Diceros bicornis minor: one gene and its partner. The protein of the gene in region 1 purifies or fractionates together with the protein of each later gene. This does not show direct contact. Links are inferred from orthologs where the notes say so. Each region holds a gene or a part of one and is shown on either strand. Other genes may lie near its edges.

Region 1 (15,473 bases):
TTACTGTGGGGAGGAAGCAGACACATGGCAGGGGAACAGGCAGATGGAATAGCTGGGGGGGCGGACACACAGCCATGCTGAGACAGACGTCACAGAGTGAGCAACGGGGACAGAAAGATAAGACACCGGACCGGCCCCGTGGCTTAGCGGTTAAGTGCGCGTGCTCCGCTACCGGCAGCCCGGGTTCGGATCCTGGGTGCGCACCAACGTACTGCTTCTCTGGCCATGCTGAGGCGGCGTCCCATATACAGCAACTAGAAGGATGTGCAGCTATGACATACAACTATCTACTGGGGCTTTAGGGGGAAAAAGGAGGAGGATTGGCAATAGATGTTAGCTCAGAGCTGGTCTTCCTCAGCAAAAAAAGAGGAGGATTAGCATGGATGTTAGCTCAGGGCTGATCTTCTTCACAAAAAAAAAAAAAGAAAGAAAGATAGACACCGACTGCCCCTGGAGAGAAGCGGACGCCTCAGAGAAGCAGGCAGCCTGGGGCAGGTGGCTCCTCACCTGGGTGAGGCAGGGGTGGCGGTCCCCCGGAGTGTGGCCGGGGTCTGGGGGCACACTTTGGGGGGGCTGATCGTGCTTGGGGAGCTGCAGGGCGGCAGCAGGCTCATGACCAAGCGCCCCCAGGCTGCCATGCTGAGGTTCATCTGGGAAGCCCTCAGAAAGTCCTGACCTGGGGGCAAAAGGGAGGCTCAGTCCAGGACCCCATGACAGGCCCTGCCCTGCTCCCTACGCACACAGTCCTCTCCTCTCCACACCTCTGCGTTTTGAGAAAATGCGTTTCTGCCTCTGCAGCCGGGGCCTCCTCTCAATGACGGGGTCACAGAAGGTCACCTGTGGGAGCAGGGGGCAGGGCTGAAGACCCTCCTACCCCATCTGCCATTGGCACCGCCCCTGCCTCCAGGATCCCAGCCTGAGCCTCCAGTGTCAATAGATGCAAGAGCCAGAAGGACCCAGAAAGATGGATTCAACATCCTCATTGGTACCAATGGGGAAACTGAGGCCCAAAGAAGAGAGGCACTTGTCCAGGGTCACACATGAGGCAGTGCAGAGTCAGGACAAGGACGCAGGCCTCTAGACTCCTGTAAAGGACTGGGAATCCTGCATTCCTGGAGACCTCCTCCCTCCAGGCCTCAATTTCCACTTCTGTGCACAGGGGGGTCGCACCGTCTTGAAGGCCCTTCCAGCCATCAAGCTCCGATGGAGCCAGGGGCCTGTGAGGTCAGAAGGCAGGGGCCAATGGGCACCTGGGCAAAGAGCAGGCCCTGTGGCACCAGGCTGAGGGACAGCTGGTGACAGGCATTGTCCAGGAAGTCCTCCAGCCGCAGGAAGGCCACGCCGCACAGCTGCCGCCAGTCCCGCCAGTGTACCCCAATCTCCAGCTCTCGGGCCTACATCAGGGAGGCCAGGTTGAGGGGTGGGGCACAGCACCAGCCCCTACCTGGCTGGCCTTCCACCCCGTGGCCCAGGATGGCCCGTGATGGCACAAGGGCCAGCCTCACCCGCTCCAGGGGGACGATAAAGGTCTGGTCCCAGGACTGCTTGGCCACCAGCCCCCAGCCCGTCTGGCCCACGACACGATTGTCCACCTTCAGCACGGCCAGCACCTCGCCTGCAGCGCCAGAGCCAGGGCTCAGGGCAGGCTGTGAGTGGGTGTCCTTTGCTGCCCCCCAGCTCCCTGTGCCCCCTACTCACTGGCCAGCTCGCCTCCACCACGCTGCTGCTTGGCCCTGCCCCGAAGCCAGCTCTGGGGGGCGCTCCCGGCCAGCGCGGCCGCCGGGGAACGTCCAGGCACGGCTGACAGCAGCTGCTCACAGCCCAGGAGGCGGACCTGCAGCGTCCCTGTGGAGGAGCATGAGGAAGGACTTAGTGCCATCCTCCCACTGCCACCACCAACGGGCCCCTGGGACCCCAAAATGCTCTCCTTTCCTGGAGGCGGCTAAACCCACACCCTGCCCACGTCAGGCCTTGGCAGCCACCTGCCACCCTCCAGACAGACCAACTGGCCCTCCCCTCCTGAGGACTCTCTTGTTGGGGAAAGGAGGGGGACACACAGACAGAGGAGCGAGACTCAGATCTCAGCCAGGCCTCACGGAGCCACAGGCCCTGACGACATGCTGCACAGGGCTCAGGGCGAGGCAGGGAGGAGAGCTCGGGGAGCAGAAAGCCTGGCTGCCTGTCTTGTCTCCCATCCTCCTTGGGCCTCAGTTTCCCCATCTATACAGTGGAAATGAGTGCCAGCTCTGCCCCACCTCCCACAAAGCATATTTTGCCAACAAAGTGGATTCATTTTTAAGGTCATTAGAGTTTTGTCCCTCAAACGGTAGAGGAAGCAGTGGGACTCTAGCCCTAAGAGCACCATTTAGGGAGTCTGGGCCTGGGGCTTGTAAACAAAGGCAGTGCTCAGAGTTGGAAGATCATCTTAAGAAGAACAACTCGAGGAACTGGGGGGTTTAGCCAGGAGACAGGATTCGGGTGGCCCTGAGTAACTGAATTCTAGGCCTTTTAACGAACCATTCCCCTTGCCTTCCCCAACTTGTCTACTTTGCTAACTCCCATAAGCCCTTCAAGGCCAACCTCAGATACCACCTCCTCCAGGAAGCATTCCTTAATTCCCCAAGGCCAGGTGAGGGGGCCCATCCAGCCCCTGTACTTCCCCTTTTTAGCTCTGCTCACAGTGGGATGTGGCCTGTCTACCCCTGCACCATTACTGAGTGGGCAGGCGCTGGGCTCTCTAGTTGGCATGGTCTCCCAGGTGGGAAGCTCAGGGCTTCCAAAGTCGACACACTCAGATTATCTGTTGATTGCAATTCGGCTGCCGCTACAAGGAGACAGATTCAGCTCAAGATAAGAAAGACCTTTCTAACAGTCTAAGCCGCCCAGGACTGGGTACTAAGGCCTCCAGGGCTGTGAGCTCCCTAACACTGGCACTTGAAGCATTATCATGGGTACTCATTTAAATAATAGCTTCATTGATCGTGAGCTGACTGTGCCGACTCTGTGTTTAGCACTTCACATTCAACAACTCACTGAATTTTCACAGCAACCCTATGACGTAGGTGCTGTTATCATCCCCGTTATATAGATGGATAAACTGTGGTTCAAAGAGGGGATGTCAGTTGCCCAAGGTCACACAGCTGGGGAGGGGGCCAGGATTGGAACCCTTCTCCAAAGTTCTTCCGCACTGTGTTTCAGGGTCCTCTCGCAAAGGGAAGGGGAGCTCTGAAGTGGGAGGGACTCCCAGCTACCTGTCATGGCAGTGGGCTTCACAAGGGTCCCTGAAGGCTGGGGGTTCCCAGACACAGCAGTCCGCAGCTCCCGGGCCACTCTGCCCCGCAGAGGGTGGGCAGGGGGCAGTCTCTCCAGCAGCTGCTCCAAGGCCAGCCGCAGGAGGTCCAGTTTCTGGGAGGACTCCTGGAGCTGGGCCTGAGCCTGCAGAGGGGACACAGGCAGTGGGTAGTGGCCCAGGGAAGATTGGGGCGGGGGGCCACCTGGAGACAGCCCTCCCGTGAGGTCTAAACAGAATGTGCCTCCTCTTTGCCATCCCACACAGCCAGCCCAGGCGTGCCCCCTGCCGCTGCAGAGGCTCATATGAGAACAAGCAGACCCTCAGAGAGGAGCAGCCATGGGCGGGGCCAGGGTCTGACCTCGGCCAGCGCCTTGCGGTCCTGCGCGCGCCGGCTACCCAGCAGCTTCACCACGTTCTTGGCACCCTCGGCCACAGCAGCCTCGACGTGCAGTCGATGCCTCAGCTCCTCTGCCAGCAGCTCAGGACCTGAGAGGAGGGGGTCAGCCCTCAGGCCCATGCCCTGCTTTGCCCTGCCCATCCCCACTTCTCAAGGCCTCACCTGGTTCAGGGGACCCACTGGCCTCCAGGCTGCTGATCTTCATTCGCAGCAGGGCCACCTTCAGCTGGCTATCCCGCAGCATCTGCTGGGCAGCTGCCAGGAGCTTCCTCTCCTATGGGGTCATGACATAGGCCCCATCAGACCAGGGCTAGCCTCCCCTATCAGACCAGGGTTAAAGCCAAGCCTCCTTTGTTAGACTAGGTCCAGGGCAGAGCCTCCTCCATCAGACCAGACACGGCCTGAGGTCAAGCCTCCCCCATCAGATCAGGGCCGAGCTCCCCACGTCATGCTGGGAGTTGGGCCGGGGGCTGGGATTCTCCCATTAGACCGGTGTGGTGCCCTCTCTGTTAGACTAGGGGTTCGAGCCACGCCTTCCCCACCAAGCTGGGGTCGGGGGCTCACCCAGCAGACTAAGCGGTAGGACTGTGTCTCCCTTACAGAGTCACAGCTAGGTTAAAGGTCCCTGTCAGAATGGGGGCTGGAGCAGCGCCGGTCTCTCCACCAGCCCCGGGAGCCTCACCTTGGGCGTGCCACTGGCGCACGTGCGGGTCATGTTCTCGGCCCCCTGCTTCACCTTCAGTTCCACCTGCAGCTGCCTCCTCAGGGCCTCCAGGAGCCCGGCCCTCGGCTGCTCTGCCGGTGGCCGGGGTCCTGAGGCCACAGGTTCTGTGCGCATGGAGCGTGGGACACATGAACCCCTCACCAGAGCCGAGAGCCCCCTGTGGCCTAGCTCTCTCTTCCCTGCCCCTCCTGGGCAGGGGCGACCTGAGGCCCTGGGGGTGCGGATCTGAGAATGGCCAAGGTCAAGGCCGGGGAGCTGGGTCGGCAGCGCCTCCCGCCCCGAGGCGTCTGCTCTGACTCCTCACTCACCAGCCAGGCCGGGCGAGGGGCTGGGCAGCAGAATGCGGGCGTGCAGCTCCCGCAGCTCCCCGTGCAGCTGCTCCAGACGGCGGTTGGAGGACCGCAGCAGCTGCTGCACGTGGCCCAAGTGGCGGCGGTCGGTGGCCACCCGCCTCAGGTTCTCCACACCCTCCTTGATTTTCAGCTCCTTCTGGATGGCCCGGCGGATCACCTCTTTCTCATCCTCTGGGGGCCGCTGGCCCGCCCCAGGCTGTGGAACGGCAGAGGAGTCATGCCACTCGGTCCCCCGCCACTGCCCTAAGCTCCCCACAGGTGGAGGGGGAGGAACGGCACCCAGGACTGACCCGCAGGGTTGGGAAGCATCTCTGACCTCAGAGCTAGGACCCCTAAGCCACATGTAAACCCTAAGGCTATTTCTCCAGCCCACGCTCCTGTCCTCTGCCATTAGAGAAGGGTCAGGGGAAAAACTGTTACGTTTATATGGTGTGACTGGGTGCCAGGTTCTGTTCTAAGAGCTTTGCATACATTAACTCATCAGTCTCCACAACAACCCTACGAGGCAGGTGAGGCAGGTGCAGGCATTATCCCCATTTTATGGATGAGGAAACTGAGACACAGAGAGGTCAAGGAATTTGCCCAAGGCCGCAACACGGAGAGGGAGACACCACCATCTCTCAGGCCCTAGCCTCTGCCTGCCAGCCACGCTTAACCAGGCTGCTCTTAGGCTGGGATTCAGGCTAAGACTCAGGACCAGAAAAGGGCTAGAGATTCACCCAAGGTCACACAGAGAGGGCAGCCGGAGGCCCAAGCAGAGGCCAGGGCTGTCCCCTGAAGTCCCAGTGTCTCAGGTGGCAGAGCAGAGGCACAGAGAGGGGATTTGAGGAGGTCTTGGGGACCCACTCCCAGCTCAGCTCCTGGGAGGAAGTGGAGGCTTTCTCATTGCTTCACCCCAGGTTGGAGCAAGGAAGAGGAAAACCTCCTTCCAAGAGGCCAACATTTCAAACCAACCGGGGCCAAAGCTGACCTCAGCCCAGGGTAACCCACAATGCCCCCCACACAGGGACTCTGGCAGGGCCTCCACCTTACCTCTCCGCCATCCATCTCCGGAGCCCAGTGGAAGGGGTGGCTACCCGAGCCTCAGGGACCCCCTACCCCATGCCTCCACTGGCCTGCTGGCCGGTCCTTGGGAGGCCAGGGGCAGGGGCGGGGCTCAGGAAATCCTTTGAGGGCCCTAGGCCAGAGGGCCAGAGCCAAAGGCCCTAGCAAACAAAGATCCCACAGAGCTGGGGGCCCGGCCACCGGGGTCCTGAGTCACCCAGCCGCCGCTGCTGGGCGGAGGTTCACAGGAAATCGGAAAATGTGTACAAGCCACTGCTGGAACAGGCGGAGGGGCCTCCGGAGGAAGGCGGTGGGAGGGGGCAGACGTAGCCCCGAAGGCTGCCCAAGCCTGGGGTGGGGGCACTCAAGGAGTCTTGTGGAGGACGCCTCACCCTCAAGCATAGCCCACGGTCCTGTCTGCTTGGCGCTGGAGCCCCGCCATGTGCACACACCCCTCTCCATTTCTGCTCTGCGGCCGGGACCCTATCTTGTACACAAATGCCCACGCCCTCGTTTGCTCTGGGCTAGAACTCCACCTCTCCCTCCCCAATAACAGACAAGCGCACAGCCTTGGCCCCTGCGCCCATGCGCACCTATTGCCAGCTCTGGCAGGAACCCCGCCCCTCGCCATGTGGGCCGGAACCCTGTGTACCCGAAGGTTCCCGCCGGGGCGCTGGGCTAGGCCCCTCCCCTTGGCGTGCACACTCCCCGGTGCCCGAGTGCTGGGGAAGGACCCCCCAGGTGCGCGAAGACGGGCCCCTCCCGGAACCCCTTCTGCCTGCGCACACATTCTTCTCCCCCGAGGACGCCTCCCCAGGTGCCCGCACGGTAGACTCCTACCTGGAAGAATCGATTTTGGGAAACTTTGGGGCCCACCCCGGTGGCCCTCACTGCGGATTCGGACGTGCTCATGGACTGGCCTGACTGGAGGTTCTGAGTCACTCGGGGGTGATTTGGGGACGTTTCCAGGGGGCACGAACGACTTACCCCCAAAGCGCAGGTCTGCACTGCGAACGTGTAGGGGGGCCCGGGGCAGGGGCTGGGAGGGGATACGGGGAGTGGTTGGGGGTGCGGATCTCGAGGGCGGGGTTGAGGACGCGGCGGGAGCTCGGGGCGCCCGGGGCGGTGAATGAGGCTTCCCCGCCCCCCTCGGCCCGCGCCCACAGCCCGGCCTCTCCGGGCGCGGTTCACCTGCCGCGGCGCCCCCTCCTCCATGGCGCCGCTCCGGCCGCTCGGCCCCTCCTCTCCACCGCGCAGGTTCCGGAAGCCCCGGCTCCTCCGCCAGGACTTTCAAACTTGAAACTTCCCGGGAAGCGGCGGCGGAGCCGCGGGATCGGGCGCCCCCTCCCGAGGTCCGCTGGTCCTCCTGGACCTGGGACCAGCGCCGCCTCTCGGCCGCGCCGGATCGCGCCCCGGACCCCACTCCCGTCCCCGAGGCCCCAGCGCCTCCCCCAGACCCGATGTTCCGCGGGATTTGGGGCCAAGCGCCCCCTCTTCTGAGGCCGTAGTTCCCGCTCCATGCGACACTGACCCCCGCCGCGGCATAGGAGGGCAGGAAGGGACATTTCCCGGGCGGGGTGCTCTAGTTGCCCCGCCGCGCGCCCAGTGGAGCGCGCCCGGATGGGGACAGCGCCGCCTGCCGGCCGCGGGGCGCTGCCTGTGTGGCCGGTCCGCTCCTAGGAACCCCGCCACCGCCTGGCTCCTGCTACTGTCTCCGTTTTGAATGTCGTTGGTGTAAAATGGGCTAATCCCAAACCTGTCGCCCCAACGGACTGGTTAGCCCTGTCTAGAGTCAATATAAGAATGTATACGTCTGAAAAAAGTAAAACCTCACCCAAATTAAGCCAAATTACAAGTCACAGATGAATAAACCAAACGTCTCTCAGTCCCCCATCACTTGACCAGACTTGAGCTTTCTGGTTCAGCCAGTTGCACCTTTGTCCTAAAAAGCGCATTTAAACAGAAGACGCATTTACAGCTTGAGACATAGCCAGTCTCAGAAAGCATCCAGCCCGCACTAGGCGAACTGGCAGTGGCTTGCGTGTGTAGGGGATCCGGGTTCTTTACTGCCTAGTCTGGGGCTGTTTAGCCACTTCCTGGCATGGTGTGCTCACCAGCACTTGGTGCCAGGCTTCATGGAAAGAGCCTGGCCCAAGGGGCCAGAAGTGAGTAAGGGTCAAATATTGAATGTGGCTTATTTGCTGACTTGGCATGGGCGCCGTCCAGTGCTTTTACTGAAGGAAATCATGTCAGTTTCACTTTGCCTGGACCACCTTCCTCACGATGGACTGGCAAGTGAAATTGGCAAGCCGTCGACAGTCCTGGGTTGTCTTGCACTGGGAAATCAACCAAGTGGCATCAACAAAGGCAAAGGCAACTTAGTTCCCTGGGGGACATGCCTACACCCATCATCAGAGGCTAGTGACACTTTTACACATAGAGTTGTTGAGGGCTAGACATTAACACATAGTAGGCTTTTCTAAACTGGGGTTATTATCAAGCTGCCCTGAACTGAATGTTAATTAACCATAATTTAGAAGTAAAAAGACTATCAGTTTCTTTTTTTTTTTTTTTTTGTGAGGAAGGTCAGCCCTGAGCTAACATCCATGCTAATCCTCCTCTTTTTGCTGAGGAAGACCGGCTCTGAGCTAACATCTGTTGCCAATCCTCCTCCTTTTTTTTCCCCAAAGCCCCAGTAGATAGTTGTATGTCATAGTTGCACATCCTTCTAGTTGCTGTATGTGGGATGTGGCCTCAGCATTGCTGGAGAAGCGGTGTCGGTGTGCGCCCGGGGTCCGAGCCTGGACCGCCAGTAGCGGAGCACGCGCTTAACCGCTAAGCCACAGGGCCGGCCCAAGACTATCAGTTTCTGACTGCAGGTTATAGGTTTGAGGAAAAAACGATGAATCAAACTAGCAAAGTTCCCCCTTTCATGAGGGTGTCTATGTCCCATCTTGAGGATCATTTATCCACTGCGACAGCCAGAAAGCTGAATTAAGCTGAATTATGTGGAAGAACTCGAAATGATTTCCCAAGTTTGCTGTGAAGTGTCTCACTGCCTCACCTGTCACTCAGGGAAAGGAGTTGAGAAGTAGCAGAATCCATCCATCTTCCCTAATGAACCCCAGGCTGGACAAACCTACAGGGAAACCAAGTCCTGGGCTGATGGATGGGTCTGACCAGATAGCTGCGTCTTATGTCTGATGGTGATGGTACTTCGTTAAACTGCAATTCTTACGTGAAACTGAAGTTCACGTTCAACATCCAGTGGATAGTGAATAGTGCAAACCAATTCCACAGGTAATTGGCTGTTGAACTTGCATCAACATCAACTTGAAAGGAACCTAAAACTTCCTAGCAGGGTACATAGGAAATATTCTTCCCTTTCTATACACTTTTTCTTCTCAATATTGCAAATCTCAATCCATCTACATTTCCATTTGCCTCTCTTGGGTAATATCTGAGTACACAAGGTCACCAACTAATCACACAGGCACACACCCTCCACTTTTAAAGTCCTCTGTATTCTTGTTCTAATCACAAAACTGCAGTCCTTTCCCTCAGACTCGTTAAAAAGCAAACTTGTAAGTCTTCATAAACACAGCTGCATATTCAAATGGGAATGGTCACTGCTGGGGTGGGGATAGACTTTTCAAAAGGCTAAGATGTTGTCCTCTTTAAACAACTGAAATGGCTATTCATTCATCTCCTAGAGAACTTGTCTCAATCTTCAGGAAATCCCGAGTCTTCACTTTTTGCAATAGAATTCCATTCTTGGCAATAGCCATAAAGAGTTCATAGCAAAATCTAACAAAAAAGAAAAACTGTTTCTGGGACTAAGTGAAGCCATGAAACCAGTTGTATTATAAAGCAATAATGATAAAGATTACCAAATTAATCCAGAAACAATTGTCTAGGAATCCTCTGAATCCTCTAAAAGGCCCCCAAAATCCATCAAGAGTCAAAACCTCATAGCTTTTAGCAGCCAAACAGCTGATACAAGTGAAGTAAGCCAGAGGTAAAGCAAATGTCAGCCGACAAGATACCTGGGTTCTCTGTGGACCATTTAAACTCTACACTTTAGAGCCAGAGTTGGGTGAAACAGTTAAGGGCTTGTCACGGAGGTCAGGCAGTAAGGTTAAGTCTTTTAGAAATCAGGACATCACTGGAGACAAGTAACTTCAACTGCAGGGATGGTCTAAAATAGAATATTCCTTAAGGTTTTGAAATTAAATGTAGCGACAACCTACTGTCCTCTGTGGCTCACTTCATGGAAGTTATTAAGTGCCCCTCACAAGGCAAGTATGGCACAGCTTTGGAAGATGTCCTCCCTCTTCCTAGAGAAACTCCCCAAACAGCCACTATCTGCTCTCTTTTTAAATGTCCTTGTACCAAAGGAGCTTTGAGCCATTCATCTGGCACTTCCCAATACACACTTGCCTAAGGGCCAGCCCAAGAACTCCTCTTGCAATTGGGCACAGAGCACATCAGCCCCTCTGTAGCCCATCTCCAGCACACTAAGGGCCCACTTTGCTTTCTCACAGCCTGGCACTCCAGAAGATTTGCAGGCACAGGGGGATCTAAAGGTAATCTCAATAGTTGGGAGGAAATTACCTTTAGGGGTTCCTAGTTTTTTTTACCACTCCCCAAAACAAAGAAATATTATAAAATTTGGTTAAATGTGACCTATAACCTAACAGTACTACAATCTCACCAGCACATAAAAACCAGTTTGGGTAAGCTGTAACTTTATGAAACAAAAATCACAGGCTTACTTAATATTAATTCAAGTGACTACTGGTTTTTTCTCCTAGTGAAAAGTCCTTTAAATGTTGAGACTTCAAAATCAGAACACTCAATCCCTTCAGGAACTTACTACATTCCAAGTAACATAGGGATTTGTCCATGACTTTCATACATACCTTTCCGTGTAGATGTTACCTATGCTATACTTACTGCTAAACTATTGGAAGAGCAGTTTACCCCCGCTCCCAATCATTATGCACACAAACAACACAAAACAAAACACAAAAATACTAGCTTATCATCTAAATTCAAAAGTAACATTTCTCTACAAAACAAGGAGAATGACCCCAGTCAAAAAAAATCTTTATGTTCCTTTATTGGAGCAAGATTCCTGACCGGTATACAGTGATGTATTTACTAAACAGAGACCTGTGCAGAAATTACAGACTACCCATCTAGACAGGTTTTCGTCACATTGCCTATTGATGGAATAGTTCCATTTATAAAGTTTTATACATCAAAAAGCTTTGAATTTGACCAGGCTGTCCATTAATTCATCTCTGAAAAAGTGGCATTTAACTTTAGCTACTATATTTTACAGCATTAAAAAGCTTACGCATTAGGTAGCTTCTCAAAATGTTATTCTATGCACAATGGCATTTAGCAGACAGAGCAGAGTCCACTGTCACACCCAGATTCACACAGATGGGTCTCATTTCAGCTATATGCTAAATAGCCGGTACTTGGAGACAAAAGTACTCCTAACCTGAGTTTCTTACCACCAATACGGACTTCTTACTCTGAGAGCCTGTCTCCTCGGCCACGTTTTACAGTGCCAATGAAGACATGCCAGCAGTTGCCCCGTGTGTAACTTGGCATTAGAGCACCAGGTCTGTCTGATGGTGGCGGCAGGCACTATTACTATATCCAGGTAAATAAAGGCCCATTTTTTAAAATGCCAATTAGAGATACAAATCGAGAGTACAACATACTCAAAACTGAGTTTTGAGCAATCTGGTATCCCAAATGATGTGAAAATTTTCAGAAACTGATGACAGATTGTACCCATGATATTTCCCAACTATGGAGACATTAACACATTGATTCAAATCCCTTTACTCAATCCACATAGCCCTGAGGTCATCCTGCAAAGTGCGTATCAAAAAATACGGAGTTAGGGTGACAAAGTTTGACAACATGTTATACAAGTCAAACTTGGAAAGTCATATTAAGTATATCCATTCTGAGAGAAAAGCATCAAATCCTTTGTGTACACATTTAGTTTTATTGTAACAAAGCAACTTGTACACTTTTAACGTTTAAAACTCAGCATCATCTTTCCTTTCCAGTGAAACAAAAAGAAAATTTAAAAATAAACAGGAACAAAATTACAATAGAGAATGTCAATTCCAAATAATCCTACAGGTTCTGCTGATTCTCCCATTGAGTGGCAGGGCTCAAGTCATCATTAGGAGAGAATTTTATTTTAAAAGTGTCATCTTAAACTGCAAGGATGTCCGTTAAACATCACAATTAAACATGCCAAAGGAGAAGCCATGTTGTCAAAATGCCCACTTAACCCACCCACACATCTCAAACCCACCCTTTGCTGACCTTCTATAACCCCATTTTTTTAAGTTTTTTTTTCTTTTTTTAAACAAGAGAAAGTAGACAGATACATGTTGGTAAATGCTAACTGTCCATATTCACATAGAGACACAGTGTAATCTCTGAGCCCAATATACAGAGAAAGGAGGAAAAAAGCTAGAATTCTATGCACTACTACACAGGGGCCTAGCACCCTCCAGCTTCCAGCAGAGCTAAGGGAGCAGAAGGTTTTTCTTTTTTCCCACAGAGCACGGTGGTGTTGATTCCATAAAGTTTTTGTTGAGACAGGAAGGGATAAAAATGAATTTGGAACAGAAAGGGGTAGAGATTCTTTTCCCACTGTATTCTGCTCACAGCATTTCCCCCCAAAATATGTTGAGAACCATGGTATAAAGGAGAGAAAAGAGACCTCAAAAACAGGGCGACTGAGCACAAGAGGGGAAAGGAAAAAAAAAAAAAAAAAAAAAGACTGCGACTTGCTCCCAGGGACTGGAGAAAATGAAAAAAGGAAGGTTGGAATCCATCAGTGTTCCATTAGTCATCTTCTCCTTCATCCTCCTGCAAAAGAAAAAGTGGGCAGTTAATCTTTAGGTTAATTCTAAGGTCATTCCCCAACATTCCTACGGACTACGACAGACTCCACAGAACACAGCAACACGCTACGGAGACGTCTAATCTTATGAACATACACATCAATCTGCATCCAATCTCGACTGCAAGACTCAGTGATCTTGTTTCAGATAAATTAACTTTTCCACACTAACCAAATCATCGGACATCTTTCAGACCAAATAATCCAACCAAAAACAAATCTATCCCCCTCTGACTGTAAGAATTTTATAGTTTGTCCACAACAGGCAAATTTTTATTTGGGAGATTTCCTCAGAATCTGACCAGCTGCACAGTCCATATCACTTTCATTAAGTACTGGCTAGGGAAGGACAGGATTGAATAGTCATAAAAACTATTCAAAAGGAAAACTAGTTGAATGGTTGATGCAATGAACTTATCAAAATTTCCTTCAATATTGGACAACAAAAGAGCTTATCTTTTCTACAAATCCACACACACACAATTAGTTGAGTTAGTTCCATTATACAATATATATAAGCTCAAAAGTAACATGCTGAATTCTTTACGTATTTTCTTTTTGGACTTAACCAAATTTTCTTTTACCTCTCCTTCCTCCCCCTCATCATCATCTTCATCTTCTTCACCTTCATCCTCATCCCCTTCTTCATCAATATCTTCTAATCCTTCTTCTTCTTCATCATCATCATCATCTTCTTCTCCTTCTCCTTCTTCATCATCCATGTCAGGAACCTTAAAGAAACAAGTTACTGTAAAAACCCATTTTCAAACAAATGAGACAAGTGTACCCTTGAATAAAACAACCTTCTCAACTCACCAAGTAGTACTGTAATGGATTTGGCCAAATATCATCTTTGATGACCTCTCCTAACTCATCTGCACCTGCATCAGAATGGTCAGTAAACCAGGTAAAGAAGCTCTCCGGTTCCTCATGCTGCCTCTTCCTGCTGGCTTTATTCTGCGTTTGACTCGAACGTTTCGTCAAATCCTAAATGGATGGAAAAACTTTGGATATACGCTCTTTACAACACCTAAATTCCCTATAATTTAAACAATTAAGAGTTTAACCCAAAAGCATAAGAAAAAAATGGACATCAGTACATTATCTATCCTACTATTCTTATCTAAAAGAAATTATAAATCGTCCAGCAGGTAAAGAGAAAGAAGTCCTAGAGTTCTAGGTCTGCAAAAACTGGTGTCAAATTTGTATGACAAGCTTTTCCCAAAAAAGTACCATCTAAATCTGGCTTTTTCATAAAATTAGTTCCACTTTAAGAACCATTATCATAACATAATATGATAATTTAAAATACATGTATTAATTAAATGCAGACATAAATGGATTTTGGGAAGTGGCCGGCCATTTGAAGAGCTCAGTCACCAACGCAGAAAACCAAAAAATGTAGTCCATTTTTTCAAAAACTTGCACTATAATTTATAATGAGATCCAAGCTATTGTATTTGACTTGAACACACCAGAGTTTTTTATTTTAAGGACCTGCATTTAACACATTACCAAAGCACCAGTATTGGTAAATGGTTCAACTAAACCAAAACATACAAAATGATATTTTTACCCAACAATTCCTGAAATACCTTTCCAGATTTCCATTTGATTTCAGTGGACTTTGAAGACGGATCACCACTCTCATTCAGATGAAATTCTTTGGAGAGAACTTTATTTTCGAAGTAAGGGTTTTCATCAAAATACTATAATAAAGGATTAGAGGATTAGAAATGAACACAAACAGCTCCTCTAACCAACCTCAAGTTAATTTCCACAGTGGCAAACAAGATGAGTTACTGATACTTACAAAATCTATTCTGTAACCTGATTTAATATCTTCAAATTCTGTCACTTCAACTCTTGTCAAATAATGCAGCGCCTCTTCATCTTCCTCCCCAAGCAGTGCGGACACTAGACCAGCAAATTGCAGGTCAAATATTCAACAGACAAGTATTAACAAGCAACTTAAGTGACACCTTTTACAATTTACCAAATTTTAGTAAGCATCTTTGTTTCCATAAATCTATTATTAACTGAAAACCAAATGGCTCAGAGTGTCAGAGCTGTCACCATCTTCTATCAAGTAATTAAACAAAATCCTCAGAATACAATCTCTTCTAAATAAACAGAAAGCATTAATTACAAGCTTTCCCCGAGTGTTTCAATCTCTGCATGTACCCAACATGATGGACCAAGTCTCAACCAAGACCCTTCTAGTCTTTAACAAGTGGACAGCTCACACCCTTTATAATGATGCTCTCCCATAACATACCTTGTGGATGGTTGACAAATGTTGTTACCCAAAAATTCGGGATTTTGGCGATCAATTCCGATCTCTTCTGAAAAAATGGTTGGCGGAGTTTGTTATATTTCTGTTCTACTTTCAAAATCTCCTCACTGGCTTGTTCATTAAGTCTGAAACGAATGAAAGGACGTTGATAGTGACGGTATTTGACAAACACAAAACTGCAGAGACTGCAGAGTATTGACTCTTGTTAGCTTTAGAGCAGTGCAAAGTACCTATTTATAATAACCAAATCATCTAGATTTTTGTAGCTATAGACTCAAGTCAAAACTAACATATCTGCTTTACCAATAGGCACTCAATAAATGACAGTTATTAAAATGCCCAAACTGAGCATTTTGCTAACACTGTATATTTATTTCATCTACTCTACCACCAGGCTAACTTCACTTCTGTTTTCCTCAAG
Region 2 (15,902 bases), on another chromosome or scaffold:
GTGGTGATCAATTCACAAATATATAAATATCAAATCACTATTATGTACACCTGAAAGTAATATAATGTTATATGTCAATTATATCTCAATAAAAAATTAAATAAAAAAAGAAATTAATGCTATAAAAGTATGCATTTTTTAAAAATATAAAAAAGAGAATCATTGGTGACCACTCAGTGCTACCCCAAAGAGAAACTCTAGTGCTTTACAAAGCCAAGAGATAGACGCCCTCATTTGCCCCTCTAGCTTACAATGGCTCTTTAATCCTATGATGGAGAGAGAAACGCAAAACTTCAAAGCACAATAGCTTTCTTAGCTATTCTTTGCTACCCAGGACTCAGAGTCTGAAAAACAACTGGGACAATATTCTCACTTAATCCAGCACCTGTTGCATGTTTCTCCTTTCTAAGGTCTAGATCTATGAAGAATTTGCATCTTCACTGCCAGTGCATTTACTGAAGCACTGAGGGGTCATGTTCAAGAGAAGGCCCTGCAGTCCATTGCCAGGTTCAAAACTTGGCTGCACAACTTCCAGGCTGTGTGACCTTAGACAAGTTGGGGTACCAACTATAAAATGCAGAAAAATAAGAGTATTTATCTCACAGGATGGTGGTAAGGACTAATGAGACAATGTGTGCACTTAGCATAGGACCAGGCACTTGGCAAGTGCTCAATAACAAAAGCTGCTGGCATCAGACTACTCCTTTCTGCTAAAATTCACTGTGGTTGCCTTGGAGATATGATGCAGGTCAGAGATCTCAGAATTACTACCACCGAGAATGCAATGAAAAAGGCGTGCCATCTCCAAAAAGTTTCATGCCAACTACAAGCTCAACTAGAGAAATATAAATACATTCACTTCATTTTGTAAAAAAAAAAAAAAAAAGTGTCACCCAGCAGGATATCGACCACAGAGTAAGGTTTTATTCAGTATCACACACCCTGCCCCAACTTGGCTGAAAGCTCACTGACAGAGGGGCTGGATTCTTAGTCATGTTTTGGTAAATCTCCTCTGCATCTATCAAAGTACCAAGAACTAGAATGATCCCATTCCCCTCCGCGGGTTGGAAACACAAAGGCACCCAAGTTCCTCCTGGCCCTGCGACACGGTTCACTCTTTGGGACCTCATCTCTACTTAAACCCTCCTGAAGGAGAGCAGCTTATGGATCAAAATTTCCGCACCTGAAATTCCAATCAAGAACTCTATGCCTAAAGTTGGTCACCACTATCTAAAAGAAAACTATTAAAACTGCACTTCTGATGTCCAGAATTGGCAAATCTCTAGAGATAGAAAATACATTAGTGGTTGAATAGGGCTGGGGGGTAGGAGGGAAGTTGAGAGAAAACGGAAAATGACTGCTAATGGGAACGGGGTTTCTTTTGGGGGTGATGAAAATATTCTAAGATTGATTGTGGTGATGGTTGCACAGCTCTGGGAATGTACAAAAAACCACTAATTGAATGCTTTACATGGGTAAACTGTATGGTAAGGTGAATTATATCTCAATAAAGATGATATTGTAAAATGTGCATTTCTACCCCACCCCTCCAACCTTAGACTATCAAAATAAGGGTACTCACTCTATCTCAGAAAGCCCAAGTCAAATTTAAAGGGGCATATCCCCAGCAACGAGTCCATAAACCAAGTATCAAGATGGAAAGAAACACAGTTCCTGAAAACCCACACCACCCCTCAAAACCAACAGCCTGATTCAATTTCATTTCTACAAAACCACATTTGGTTTGCCATTGAGTCCATGAGACAGCCAGACATGAAGTCCAAGGCTCTCTGCAAGCTTTTCCTGCAAGGTAGAGAGAGGCAGCCAGCCCAGCCACTGAGCAGGGAGATTAATTCAGCAAGAAGAAAGAAAATTTAAGTTTACCAGAATGTTATTAGGAACAGAAAAAATGTTGGGAGATTTACTTATTTTTTTTCTTTTTAACTTGTGTGGCTTTTCTGGCATAACCATGACTTTACGCAAACCAGGTTACCAGGATTCTTCCCAGCATACATACATAACTGTGTAAGTTACCAACAACTGGCATGATGGAGGCATGGGCCTAACTCCCTGCACGCAAACCAAAAAATGTCCCTCTGCTCTTAAGTGACTTTTGCTCTGAGTCTTGACAACCCTGAATGCTGGAAGATGATTACAACTACCATTAATTGAGCAGTTCTTATGGGCCAGGCTCCAAGCTAAGCACTTTCTTCACATGCACTGTTTCATTTAGTACTCACACAATCGTAGGACGTCAGTGTGGCTATTTCCATTTTACACAGGAGGACCTCAGGCTTAGTGACGTGCCCACAGTCAACCCGCAAGTGATGGGGTGAAGACGCAAACCCAAGAAATCTTAAAACCCTTCATTCTACAAGTCTGGACTTCATCTCCAGCCTCTACTATCTCTACAGAAAAAAAAGAAACTTAAACACACGGAGTCATCTTGACTGAGACTCTGATCAATCAGGTCAAGGAAAGGGTTCTGGGCAAATGAGAGCCCACAGAAAATGCCGGGACAAATCAGCACAGAAAAAAGCAACTGGGAGTCACCAAGGCTCCTACACATCAAACAAGAACTTTCTGCAAAAGCAGGATTTTTTGAAATGTAGGTCCCAAATTATTTTATTGCTTATCTTCTATTGGTCCACATCAGAGGTTTGGACTCCAGGGAAAGACTTCAAGGGGTTCATTTGTTTATCAGATTCTCAAGGAGATTCAAGAGACAAGTGACTTAGACAATAGTTTTGCTTCAGGGTTAAGTGCACAGGCTTTGGAATCAGACAACTTGGGTTTAAATACACTTCATCGCTGTCGCCTTCAGCAGGTTTCTGATCTCTCTGATCTTCAGTTTCCTTATTCATAAAGTGGAAGTAGCAATAACAGTGATCTAGTTAACCACTGGCAATCCCGGGAGGCCAGCTTTATTGCCTCCGATTAACACACACAAAACATCTAAACCCAAAGATCTGTGAATACGAATTGCAAAATAAAACCATAAAATTTTAGAGCTGGAAGAGACTGTAAAACATCTAAACCAGTGTTACTCAAATAGTTATTTAAGTAACTAATAGTTTTTATGTATTTATTTTTAAAAACACTGGCTTTACATTTACAGTAGTGATAAAGATAATCCAAAGAAAAATAATACACAAATACTAATATAGTAATATACAATGTAGCAAGCACCTAATGAGAACCGAAAGCCTTAAGCCTGGGAAATACCGACAGCCTCCACCCTCTTTATTTTGAGAGGTCACATGACCTGTTCAAGTGGTTGTAGTAGTAGAAGAGTCTAGTTCATAGCACAGCTGGATATACAGAGATTAGAACACCTAGTTCCCCATCAGTCTTTCCCCCAGTTATAAGGCTGGTCCATTCCATTAGACAACTTAAATAACTCTAAAACCCCATCACTGCATGGTTTCCTCCTACTCAAAGGATTCTGACCCCGGCCCCAAAATAGTAGCAGGCAAATAAATTGCTAGTTGCACAAATGCATTCTCCTCAGATTCAAGCCAAATTCAAGACAAGTCCAAATTCCAACAGGCTTGGTCCAGGGGTCCATTCCAGTCAAGCAGGATGGGGCAGGATTGAGAGCTCTGCATCAACAGGAACCCCATCTCTGGCTCAGACCATGCAGGAGTTCAAAACTAAGCCCTGATGCTAGAGATGTGTGGCTCTGGGCTAGTTATTCCCCCAAGCCTCTTTTCTCATTTGTAAAATGAATAACATCACATGAGATAATTCATGGGTGAAGCAGTGCCTGGCATGGAGTTAGTCTCTGTGGCCACAGGGGCAGCAGAATATTCACTGCTACATCTCGGTGCCCAGGGCAGGCCCCAGCACACAGCAGGCACTCCAAACGTTTGTTGAATAAAGCAGCGGCCCAATTAAAGCCGGCCTGAGACTCAATCAAAATTCATGGGCCCAACCAATAAGTGGGCCCCTAACTGACTCCAAACCAAGGATCATGTGTTCTTGAACCAAGGATGGCCCCGGTCACTGACAAAGGAAGTCTGTTCATATGCTTCAGGCCACAGTCTGCAGCAGAGACCCTGCCTCTGAGAAGCCTCATCGCATCACAGTCCCATATTTATTTATTTCACCCGAAAAGACTGACACTTGCTGCAGTAGGGTTCCATTGTCTCCCGTTTCGTTTTTAGAAGCAACAGGCTCACAAAATGACATCTCAGGCACTTGACTTCTATAAGTCTCCTTTAAGGAGGCCTGGGGACAATTCTCAGAGCTAGGCCCCCACTCTGCCAAAGCAACCTTTCTTAGCTGAAAGATGTCACCTATTAAGAAATCCATCACAGAGACAGGAAAAGTAAAGACAATTCCACTGTTTGTCTTTATGTTATTCCTGATTTTCAAAACTAAAAGATGGACTGAACTATTTGTATATGGGTAGACTGAAAAGGCACCAAAACCGATCTCAACAACCCAAGCGCTCATCCCTAGAGCTCTCTTGTTTGGCAGAAGGAGAAACTCTCTGGCTCTGCAAATGTCAAGGGAAAAATCACACACACAATGCAAATTTCAATTCTCCCCTACCAAAAGGAAATAAGCAAAAACGGTTTTACCAAACGTTCGAGAATCTTTAAGGATGAGTTTAAACTTTTCCTTTCTGAGAGAGGATGGAGGCCATTCCTTCTCAGACCTCTGAGTTTTCAAGGATAATGGGAGAGGTAAAAAGGAGCGCGAGGGAGAGGGAGAGTCAGGATATGTTCATTCTATTTTTAAACCCTCGCCCACAGTTTAGAGTAAAGGAACACTCTGATTCTGTACTCCCACCCCTATCACCTTCTGCTAAACACAGGAATCGGAACCTGCACACGTACACGGCCTTGATTCTGGATTTGGGGGTTACGGGCTGCCAACACTCCAAAGATTCGCAAGCTAACCAAACCTGCCACCCAGCCCTGCTCTGGGCAGCGCCCGTGCCTTTCGGAGAACCCGGCGGCCTTGAGCAGGCTGGAGCTGCGTGCAGAGAACGTAGCAGTCACAACCCGCCTTTTCCCGAGGGGAGGCAGCGCCCCCTTGGCAGGGCACGCTCCATTCCCACGGTTGGGCACCCAGGAGTGAGCAACTCTTCCCCAAGGGAGCCTGAGTCGTGGACGCGATGGGGTTTCCCAACAGTCTGCGGCGCGCCAGGCACTACAGTTCCACTCCCGGGACACCTGTGTGCCGCTCACACCCACCGCGGTGCCCCAGAGCACGGCTCGCGCTCGGTCACCTCCGGGCCATCCCAGAACGCAAGCGGCTGGGCGACGGGTCTCCTTCCTCCTCGGATTGTTGCTGGCTCGCCTATTTTATGTGCCCTTCCCCCCTCATTACAAGCACCTACACCCGTCCTCAGCGCCCCGGGGGCAAAAATCCAGCCGGGCGCTCGGACGCCCCGGGCTGAGCGCCGCCCGACGGCCCCTCCCACCCCGGGCCCCGTCCCCGCCGGGCTCGCGGACACTCACTCTTGAGCGCGCTGATGAGTGACTTCCCGTCCTTGATGAGCTCCTTGATGAATTTGTTGGTCTTGTCCAGCTCCGCTTCGTGCGACTTGAGAGTCTCTCGGAAGTGCGGGCTGTCGAGGCAGCAGTCGCTGAATTCTAGTGCGGGGAGCCCCATGGTGCCCGCGGCGCCCAGCCAGGGGGTGCGCCTAGCCCGGGGCCCGGCCGGCCTGCAGTCCCGAGCACGCACGCGGCGGGACTTCGGCCGGCACCCCCGACGGCCGCCGGCTCCACAGGTGTGGCGCCGGCTCGCCCTCCGCTCAGAGTCGGCGGACGCGGAAGACTCCGAACCGAGCCGGGACCCGGCCGCTGGGCGGCTGCTCCGGCGGCGAGCAGCGGAGCGGCAGGCGAGTAGGAAGCGCAGCGGCGGACCCGCAGCGGCGCCGGGAAGCGAGCGAGCGCGGCCGCCGCCTCCCCGCCTCCTTCGCCTGTTCGCTCTCCAGCAGCCTCGAGCGCCCTCTCACAGCAGCCTCGGCCGCCCCGCCGGCGTCCGGGCCGCCCGAACCTGCTAGCGATGACCTAATCCCGCCCGGACCAATCAGCGCGCCCACCTCAGCCCGACCCTCCGGCCTCCCAGGGACGCCCGGCCCTTCCGCGGCCTTGACCCAATCAGCGGGGTCTGGAGGCGGGGCCTGGGGCAGGGGCGGCACCCACGCCACCGCCTAGGACCGCAGCACAGGCTCCGCCCCGTCCCGCCCGCGCGGTGTTGCAGACCCCGAGCCCTGGGGGTGAGCGCTGCGGTGCATGGGCCCCCGCCACCCCGGATCTTGCCCGCCTGCTGCGGTCCGGATCCGAGCCCGAGATGGTCCGTCTGCAAGTCTGGGGAGCGGAGGAGCCTAGATGTGCTGAGCATGAAAAAACTGGGAATTAGGGCTGCAGTTCTCTTCAGCCCGCCTCGCACTGCTGAGCAATCGAGCTTGCACTCAAAATGCAGCGCCCTGCCCCGGGAGAACCCCAAGTGCACCGAGCGACCACGTCGCCCCTAGGCACACGCTCCTTCTTCCAGTCTGGCAGAAAATATTTGCATCTTAAAATTACCAGCTTTTCTTGCCTGCAGTCTTCCCGCCCCCTACAGTCCGTCCCCCTGGCGGCCACTCCTGCTCAAAACCCGCCCACGGCTGCCCCCAGCCGAAGGATCTAACATCCTTACGAGAATTTCAGCCGCCTGTTGTTTTCCTGCTCAGCAAACAGCACAATTTTACATAATTACGTCCACTGCCTGTCGTCCTTCGCTGGGCGGTGAACCTCTCCAGGGCCCGGGCCACCGCAGTTTTGTGCGCTGCTGCTCCCCCAGGACCTAGAACAGTGGCTGGCATTTAATAACAGATAGCATTGAACGCTTCCCATGTGCTACGTGTGCTACGGTAATTGATAAACATTTGTAAAATAAATGAATGGATCCTTTCCCTGGTCCCTCTCCACCTCCCACCCGCAATGCATTGCCCTGTTGTCCCCGTTTCACTACAGGAATCAATTCAGGCAGCCCGCTCACTGCACTTGTCAGGCTGGATCCCACAGTGTCTAGTCTGAATTATGGATTCCCAGAGGATAGGGACTGTCCTTGAATAAATTATTTGTATGTCCAGGAACTAGCAGCCCTCCTTCAGTTGAGTGTTTTTTTGTTTGTTTTGTTTGTTTTTTAAATAGGTCTGCTATGTGCAGGCAACAGGCTAGATGCTAGGGATACAAAGATGAATAACAGAGCCGGCCCCGTGGCTTAGTGGTTAAGTGCCGGCACTCCGCTGCTAGCAGCCCAGGTTCGGATCCCGGGTGCGCACCGACGCACCGCTTCTCTGGCCATGCTGAGGCCGAGTCCCACATACAGCAACTAGAAGGGTGTGCAACTGTGACATACAACTATCTACTGGGGCTTTGGGAGAAAAATAAATAAAAATTAAAAAATAATAATAATAAAATAAAACCTATTTGTCTTATAACTGCAAGTTTAAAAAAAAAATGAATAACACAGAATGAACTTGACTGCTGATGGTCAGTGGGAGAGACAGAGCAACAAGCAATAGCAATGCTGCACAGTAAGGTAGGATAGAAGAAGGCCTGAGTGCGTGGGAACATGGAGAACAGATTGCCAGCTCAGGGGGCCAGAGAAGGCATCTATGTTGAGAATTTAACTGACTGGTTTATTACATGAAGAAATGAATGAATGAGTTGCTAGCTGTATCTACAAATTTAGACTTGATAGCAGGCCCAAACAGCTGACAGATAATTAAAACCCTGAAATAGTCGTTCCTCATTTGCCAAAGATGAGAAAGATCTGGAATGGAAACTCCATGAAAGTAAATCTGTTTAATGCTATATCTTGAGCACTTAAAGGTAGGTGTTCTAGTTCTCTATTGATACAAACAAGTCACACCAAAACTTAATGGTTTAAAACAACAATCATTTTATTTTCTCTCATGATCTCCGTGGGTCAGGAATTTGGAGGAGAGCTTAGCTAGGTGGTACTAGCTTCGGGTCTCTAATGTGTTTGGAGTCAGATGGTGACAGAAGCTAGGGCCTCGGTGGCTAGCCAAGCATCTCCTTCTCTTCCAGTAGGCTCAGGGCTGCTCCATGTGGTCTCTCCATGTGGCCTAGTTTGGGCTTCCCCACTGCATGGCGGCCTCAGGACTCCAGTGTGAACGTTCCAGCTCATGGGAGGAAAGCTGCACCACCTTTTATGGTCTGGCCTTGGAAGTCACACACTTCTACCACCTTCATTATCTACAAACAAGTCACAAGCCCACCCAGATTCAAGGAGAGGGGAATTAGACTGTACCTTTAGATGGGGAAGTGACAAGAAAGGGAGATATTGTTGTAGCCATCCCTGAAAAAAACAATCTGCCACAGTGAGCCTAGCACATGGTAAACTATTCCATAAATGTTAAATCAATTAAACAAAATGAGGTCCACAATTATTTATTTCCTCCTGTTGAGGAATATTGGGCAAACGCATATAAAGTAATATATATGTATTAATAATAATGATATATGAGCTATCATTTAAGCTCTTAGTTTGTGCCAGACACCATGCTAAATTATTTACATGCATATAATCCCTACAAGGTAAGATTGGTATTATGACAAGCCCCAATTTTCAGATGAGAAATTGAGGCCCAGAGTTGTAACTTGAAGCAGGTTACTTAACTGAGAAATGTGTGTGGCACATACATATACACAAACATATACCTAACATGCCTGTTTTCAGACAAATATGTAAGTGTGTGGATAACGTAAATTTCTTATGAATTTAAACCAGAATTTCCACAAAGACTTCCCACACTTCCGGCAATATTCTCAGAAAAAGAGAATCAGAATGCAGTAGTATTGAGCGCAGAAACTGGCACATGGAGGTGCAGTTGTCTCTCTCCTCCTAGAGAATAAGCTCCATGAGGCAGAGATTTGTGTTGTCCACTGCAACAGCCCCAGCACTTAGAACAGCAATGGATACTTCAAAGGTGCACGATGCCAGCGGGAGAGAAACATGTTTAATAAGGAAGAAACAGTGATTTCATGTGACAACATAGGTGGTGGCTATGAATGCAAATAGAAGTGAACAGTTAAGGCCCAGAAATCACTTTCATATGAAATATAGAAATAATTTAGGCAAAATGATTTGACCTAAATTCTTTGGATGAATGTCTGAATTCCTTCAAATCAGCCAAACAATTAGTCCAAATACTTCCATTTTTAGTATCAATGTATTTAAATCCGTATTGTTTCTGACTTCAATTGTCCAATTAACTCTACATCTGCCATACAATTACCGCCCATTTGTAGAAAATGGGAAAGCACTCTCAGAGGCAGGCATGGGCTGCTCACTCATGTTTACTGAACACAAGCTGGAGAACATGAGGAAGGTTCGTAGCCATGTAACTGAAGACCAGGGATAGATGGAGCTTTCAGGGCAGCATCTGGGGATTTAGATGGTGACATCAGTACAATATCTCTCTCTCTCTTCCCCCAGCTGACCTTCCTTTGTGGAGCCTTCCTTCTCAGTGGTTCTCTCTGCTTCTCCAAACTTACATCCAGCAATGTTAGCAGTAAGAGAGTTTTCTTTTCAAGAATTCCAGCAGAAATTACAAGACTGAAGCCAGAGGTGAAACAACCCCACTCCTAACACATCGAAGGGGAGGAAGACTATCCTCCACCCACTCTGGGTCCTTTCTGGATGGGCTACAAATTAAATTGACATGAAACTGAATAGCAAGAGAAAATCAAACAAAGCTTTATAACATGTATACATGGGAGAGACCCAAGAAAACACTGGGTAACTCGACAAAATGGCGGAGGTTCTAATCTTAAATAACATATTCAGGTAAAGACAAAGGAGGATGTTGGGGGTGGGAGGAGTCAGCTATGGGAGATTACCAGAAAAGCACAGTAAACAAGGGTATGCAGATTTAAGTCCTTGTCTTCCACATTGATAAGAGTTTCTAAAGATAAGGTCATCCCCCCTTCTTCCTGGTACAGAGAGGGAGATACCTTTACAAATGGAGATTTCCCTTATAAGTGTAAACGTCTCTTACAAGGGGTAACTTCCACTTTTAATTGGTTTTCAGAGTTTTGATAAGAATAGGCTTAGCAAGGACCCTTCCAGTCTATCCATACCCAGAGTTATCTATGGTGATGGCCTGTCCTGGGGACAGGCCTTCTATCTTAAATTCTTTTAGGCAGTTAGTGAAGGGGAGGTCAAAGTTTCTTTCAGAGTCTTTTGTTCTTGAAAATAATCAAGGTAAAGAAACATTTTGAGGTAGCCAATTCTGACCCCCCACAACATAAAACATTGGGGAGGAGTTGTTCCCCCAAAGGACAAGCAAAGTGCTGTTAACAGGAAAAGAGGGAATTGCTGCTAAATAGGAGAAGCAATAATATGCAGTTCACCTGACCAGTCCCCCAACCCCCTCAGAATGAATGTTCCTTCTGCTACATTCCCATGATTTTGTAATTCTGCTTAGCACTTCTCTATTCTTTTTTGCAGTTGATACCATATGTTTCTTTACACAGTGACTTCTCCTTTGTATTATTACTGGATAAGACATCAGTTTTCCCATTTGAAAATAATGATTTTGGGGTGATGGAAATGTTCTATATCTCAATGGTGGTGATGTTACACAGGTGTTGACATTTGTTAAAGCTCATAGGTGCATTTTATTGTATATAAATTACACCTCAATCAAGTTGATCTTAAAAAATAATGATGATGGTGGTGGTGTTAATGATGATATTTATTAAGCTTTTGCTGTGTAGTAGGATCTGTGCTAAGCACATTATTGTCTTTCCTCACCTAACCTTTAGTAGAATCCTGGGAGTAGGTACTGTTACCATCCCCATTTTACAGATAAGGCAACTAAGGCTCAGATAAGTAAGTGCTTAAGTTCACATAGCTAGTGGTGGAAATAGGCTTAGAATTCAAATCTATCTGTCTTAAATAACTGTCTCCATGTAAGATGTCTATAAGAAAGACATTCGATATATCTAAAAAAATTAATAATAATAACCAAACACCTAAAAATGGAATAAGGGCACACATGAATAGAAGAGGAGGTATCTCATTCTGAAGTGTATGTGTTTTTCCAGGACCTTTTGCTGGTATGTCTCAAATATATCAATAATTATATAAGCCTCTAATTTGTTTTGGCTTTAAATCCCAGACCCTACAATTTGTGTAGAAGCAATTGACTGAAGCAGACATGAAATCCTATTTTCCTCAAAAGAAGAAAGAGTAATCCATCTTTATAAAGCCAGTGGCTTGTGGTTCTTTAAGGGAAGTGGCAGCACTTAATTAACATTCTTTGGCTCAAGAAATTAATGAAACATATTTCTTGTACTACACAAGTCTGATTTATATGTTAGCAATATTTTTATTGCCATTTCTTATGATTTTGTTTCATGCGTGCTACTTTTCCACCCAATATCCATTCTCCCCTCTTCCTTACTGATTTATTGAGAAAGTACTCATATAACAATTACTATGTACCAGACACTCTTCTAAACACTTTACAACTATTAACTCAATTAATCTCTTAACAACCCTATTATTATCTTATCTCTATTTTATAGGGGAGGAAACTGAAAATGAATCACCTAAAGTCACATAACCACTGAGTAGCAGAGCTGAGATTCTAACTGGTAATCTAGTTCCAAACTTAGGCTATGTTACTAGTAGAACCCCAAGTGCCCAGCGAAAGAATTCAGTTCCTCAGGCTTCCACACAGCTGGTGGTGGCCATGTGTCACTTTTCTGGCCATTGAGATATAATTGGAAATCTACTGGGCGGGGTTTTGGAAAGGTTTTGGTTTTTTTATAAAAGGACAGCTGACACATACCTTTTGCCCACCTTTCTTCCCTATTCTTTTTGCCTAGAATGTGGATATAATGCACGGAGGAGCAGCAGCCATCTTGCAACTAGGAGAATGAATGCCACATGCTAAAGATTGTTGGATGGGAAGACAGAGAGAACCAGGTGCATTGGTGACATCCATGAACCACAACACCCAGCCCCAGAGTGCCCACCTCCCAACCACTCATTACATGAAGGGGAAAAAACACAACCTATTTAAGCCCCATTAGTGGGGTTTTCTGTTACTCAAAGCCAAACACGACCCTAACTGTTATAATACACTAACCACAAAACCTTATTTTTCACTTCCTCCTGAATTTTGGTCATCTGCACTAATACATGGTCCTTAGATAGTTACCAAAACAGAAAATAATAATCATTAGTTTTAAGGATGGTTTCTTAAACATTTAGAGTAAAGATAATATCTGCATTTACAGGGCAGAGATGTGTATTAAATGAGGAAAGATATTTAAGAAAAAGGATAATTCATCAATAAAAATAAACCTGTTCAAAGGCTGAGATGAAACCAGAAAATTGTTGAAGATCATTTCAATAGAGACCCAGGATTATCTGCGTCAATGAAAATAATTGGTCTATTTCTTACAATTGTTGCTGCTAAAATGACCAAATAAATTCACTTACTTACATAAAGTAACCTAAACTAAGGCAGTCCTCTGCACCTTGCTCTCTTTCTTGCCTCTGGATCTTCTTATACGTGGTGTATGCTTTAAATGCAATTAGTGTATTAGAGGTCCTGAGGAGTCCTGCAGTAAATAATCCCATAAGAGTTTGCTTAACTCAGTATTTCTCCTATTTCATTGAGCACAGAATCCTGTTTTTCCCCCAACATACATCCCACATAGTTAATGCTCTATGAAACATGTTCGGGAAATGAACAATACCATAGACAGCAGGAGTAGAGACACACAGGAGAAAGGGGTAATTTCTAGTCTTTTGGTTGCCATTTCAGTTGTTGCAAAATAGAAAGTTTGTCATGAGGAATTAAAAAATTTTCTAAGGCAACTGGAAAACAATCACTATCCAACTTCAAATCCTTTTGAATGGGTGGGCTTTCCTTCCATGGGAATTCATATTCCTTTAGATGGCTCTGATTTTGAGGTGATGCTATGGTTTTTAGTGGACGCCTGTGTCTATTGAAGGTGGCATGGCAGGGGTAGAGGAGGACACTATTTCAGCAGAAAAATTATCCACTATCACTTTCTTCTAGGGATAAGCCAGTATGAAAAATCAGTACTAAGATGGATCTAAACACAGGGCAAAGGGATGCAATGTCTGTGGGGCTACAGTGGATGTTGGTGGATTTCTTTTATTTACTTGCACACTTCCCTTTGTATTTCTTCTCTGGAATTTCCCATCATTGTATTTCTACTACCCAACACTCATTTATAGAAAAATTTGACTTACAAAACTAGTGGCTCTAATACTCTCAAACTAAAGTGTTCCATCACTAAAATACTAACATTTTCCAATTTGAAAACTAGACACTTTTTAAAGGTTGTTTTGCCTGAAAAGTAACCATGTGAACTACCTCTGTGCTTCCCAAAGCTAATCTGAGGACCTGGGCCAGTCCAGGAAGAAGTTTTCTCTGATTTCTCACAAAATGAGAAAAATGATGACAACATAATGAGTTTTTCATGAAGCAACATGTATCCCATTTGAAGGAGTGCTTTTTATTTTGAAATTATGTCCTTCCTACAAATTTGGTATGAATATACTCTTTTTTTTGTATTAACATACTCCTTTTTAAAAGTAAGATGATAATAAATGAAGAGAGCAAGCCCTGATGGCCTAGTGGTTAAAGTTGGGCGTGCTCCGTTTCGGCAGCCCGGTTCAGTTCCCAGGTGCAGAACCATACCCCTTGTCTGTCAGTAGCCATGCTGCGGCAGCAGCTCACAAAGCAGAACTAGAAGAATTTACAACTATACACAACTATGTACTGGGGCTTTGTGGTGGAAAAAGGAAGAAAAAGGAGGAAGATTGGCAACAGATGTTAGCTTAGGGGAAATCTTCCCCTGCAAAAAAAAAAAATATGTATAATAGATGACGATAGTAGCTGTATTTTTTTAAAATATCTTTTGGCAAAATTAAAATTTGGAAGTACTGTGTCCCCCTAACTTTGTTTATTGTTTGTTTTGGTTTTTATTCGATAGTTTAGAAACAGCTCCTTGAGCCCAGAGAACTCGTGTGTCTTGTTCACTGCTCTGTTCCCTGTGATCTGTAGAGCGTCTAGCAATAGTAAGCAATCAATACAGCTTGACACATGTTAAAAGATAAACTGGAGCACCTTAAAATTTTCAAGAGTTTATTTGAGCAAACATCTATTTCAATTGGGCAGTACCAAACCAAGAGTTGTTAGGAATGTTCCACAGACAGGAGCTGGGGGCAAGGTTTTTATAGAGAAGACTTGGAAACAAAGCAAAGAAATTATTTGATTTGTTATAGCTTAAGTTGCTTTATTTGGGAAAGCCTGGTTGGCTATTTGTGATTGGTTGTTCTTGAGTTTCACTTTCTAGGATTCCAGTGCACTGACTCCCACTTAGGTTTTGATTTCTTACATAGGCTATCAAGGCATTAGAGACACCTCAGTCTAATGGCCTCCTTGTTTAACTATTACTTTAGCACAGACTAACCTGGAGGTTGGCAGACTTTTTCTATAATGGGCTTTTAGGCTCTATGGACCATACAGGCTCTGTTGCACCTACTCAACCCTGCTGTTGTGGCAGGAAACCAGCCATAGACAATACACAAATGAATGAGTGTGGTGGCTGTCTTCCAAAAATCTTTATTTATGGACACCAAAATTTGAACTTCACATAATTTTCAGGTGTCACAAAGTATTTTTAAAATTTTTGTTCCTGGGCCGGCCCCGTGGCTTAGCGGTTAAGTGCGCGCGCTCCGCTACTGGCGGCCCAGGTTCGGATCCCGGGTGCGCACCGACGCACCACTTCTCTGGCCACGCTGAGGCCGCGTCCCACATACAGCAACTAGAACAATGTGCAAGTATGACATACAACTATCTACTGGGGCTTTGGGGAAAAAAAGGAGGAGGACTGGCGATAGATGTTAGCTCAGAGCTGGTCTTCCTCAGTAAAAAGAGGAGGATTAGCATGGATGTTAGCTCAGGGCTGATCTTCCTCACAAAAAAAAATAATAAAAAAAAAAATAAAAAAAAAAAAAAGAATAGCTTGCTTTTAAAAAAAAAAAAATTTTTTTTGTTCCAACCATTTAACAATGTTATACCCATTCTTAGTTTACGGGCCATACATAAATGAGTAGCAAGCTAGATTTAACCCACAAGCTATAGTTTGCTGACCCTTAGAATCACCAGATGAAAGAATGAGTAACCAAATACAGACCAAGATTAGAAATTTCAGAAGTATAGGTCCCAATCCTTCCTTGGCAGGGAGTGACCGTGACCTTAAGAAAGCCAAATTAAGACACTGGAATAGCCTGGTTTCCCAGCTATAAGTTAGGGAAAGCGAGTCAAATCTATTTCTTCAGGATATTGTTAGTGATGAGTATTATAGGTGACAATGAAGAAACATTTTGCGACTAAGAAGGACCAAATAATACATCCATGATTATAAAAGAGAAAATAGCAAATATACTACAAACTGATTTAAAAGATTCAGTCTCCTACTATTTCACAAAAAATACAAATGAGACAAGCAGGAGTCTCACTGAACACCAGTGAATTGCTTTTGAACTGGACTATTCATGGAATCACAGAATCACGGAGCTTTAGAGCTAAAAGAGATCATGGAAAACATCCAGTTCAATCATGTTGTTTTAAAGGCAAGGAAATTGAATATAAGGAAGAAAGATACATACCCAAAGTCACTTATTGAGAGAATGAAAATAATCTAATAAGAAAAGATATCTTCTGAAGCCTGAATAAGAAATAAGGTCATGTTATGAAAAGAACATAGGGTTTCCGTCCCTAGGTTCAAATACTGGCTTGACATGATGGTTTTGAATCTCAGGCAAGTTACTTAACTACCTGAGTCTCAATGTCTTCATCTTTAAAACAGGGACAA

What was found.
Region 2: the proteins of PKN3 (region 1) and ARHGAP26 purify together in Homo sapiens (affinity purification with mass spectrometry; 3 studies listed by BioGRID and IntAct, with this or other methods). This does not show direct contact. The link is inferred for Diceros bicornis minor from reciprocal best matches to the Homo sapiens genes PKN3 and ARHGAP26.

The regions. Positions count from the first base shown.
Region 1 is NC_080767.1:36,477,551-36,493,023, reverse strand, and holds the start of PKN3 (serine/threonine-protein kinase N3), read right to left. Parts: upstream 7,415-15,473; 5' UTR 7,376-7,414; coding exon 7,002-7,375; intron 6,850-7,001; coding exon 6,651-6,849; exon of another isoform or gene 5,814-6,650; coding exon of another isoform or gene 5,799-5,813; intron 4,963-5,798; coding exon 4,722-4,962; intron 4,518-4,721; coding exon 4,372-4,517; intron 3,964-4,371; coding exon 3,852-3,963; intron 3,779-3,851; coding exon 3,651-3,778; intron 3,436-3,650; coding exon 3,252-3,435; intron 1,846-3,251; coding exon 1,699-1,845; intron 1,616-1,698; coding exon 1,506-1,615; intron 1,395-1,505; coding exon 1,251-1,394; intron 838-1,250; coding exon 762-837; intron 677-761; coding exon 508-676; intron 4-507; coding exon 1-3. Other genes in the region: protein SET, read right to left, coding at 12,699-12,722, 13,341-13,487, 13,573-13,743, 14,352-14,465, 14,570-14,673, 15,035-15,177.
Region 2 is NC_080740.1:60,734,446-60,750,347, reverse strand, and holds the start of ARHGAP26 (rho GTPase-activating protein 26), read right to left. Parts: upstream 5,990-15,902; 5' UTR 5,626-5,989; coding exon 5,472-5,625; intron 1-5,471. UniProt on the Homo sapiens protein: GTPase-activating protein for RHOA and CDC42. Facilitates mitochondrial quality control by promoting Parkin-mediated recruitment of autophagosomes to damaged mitochondria.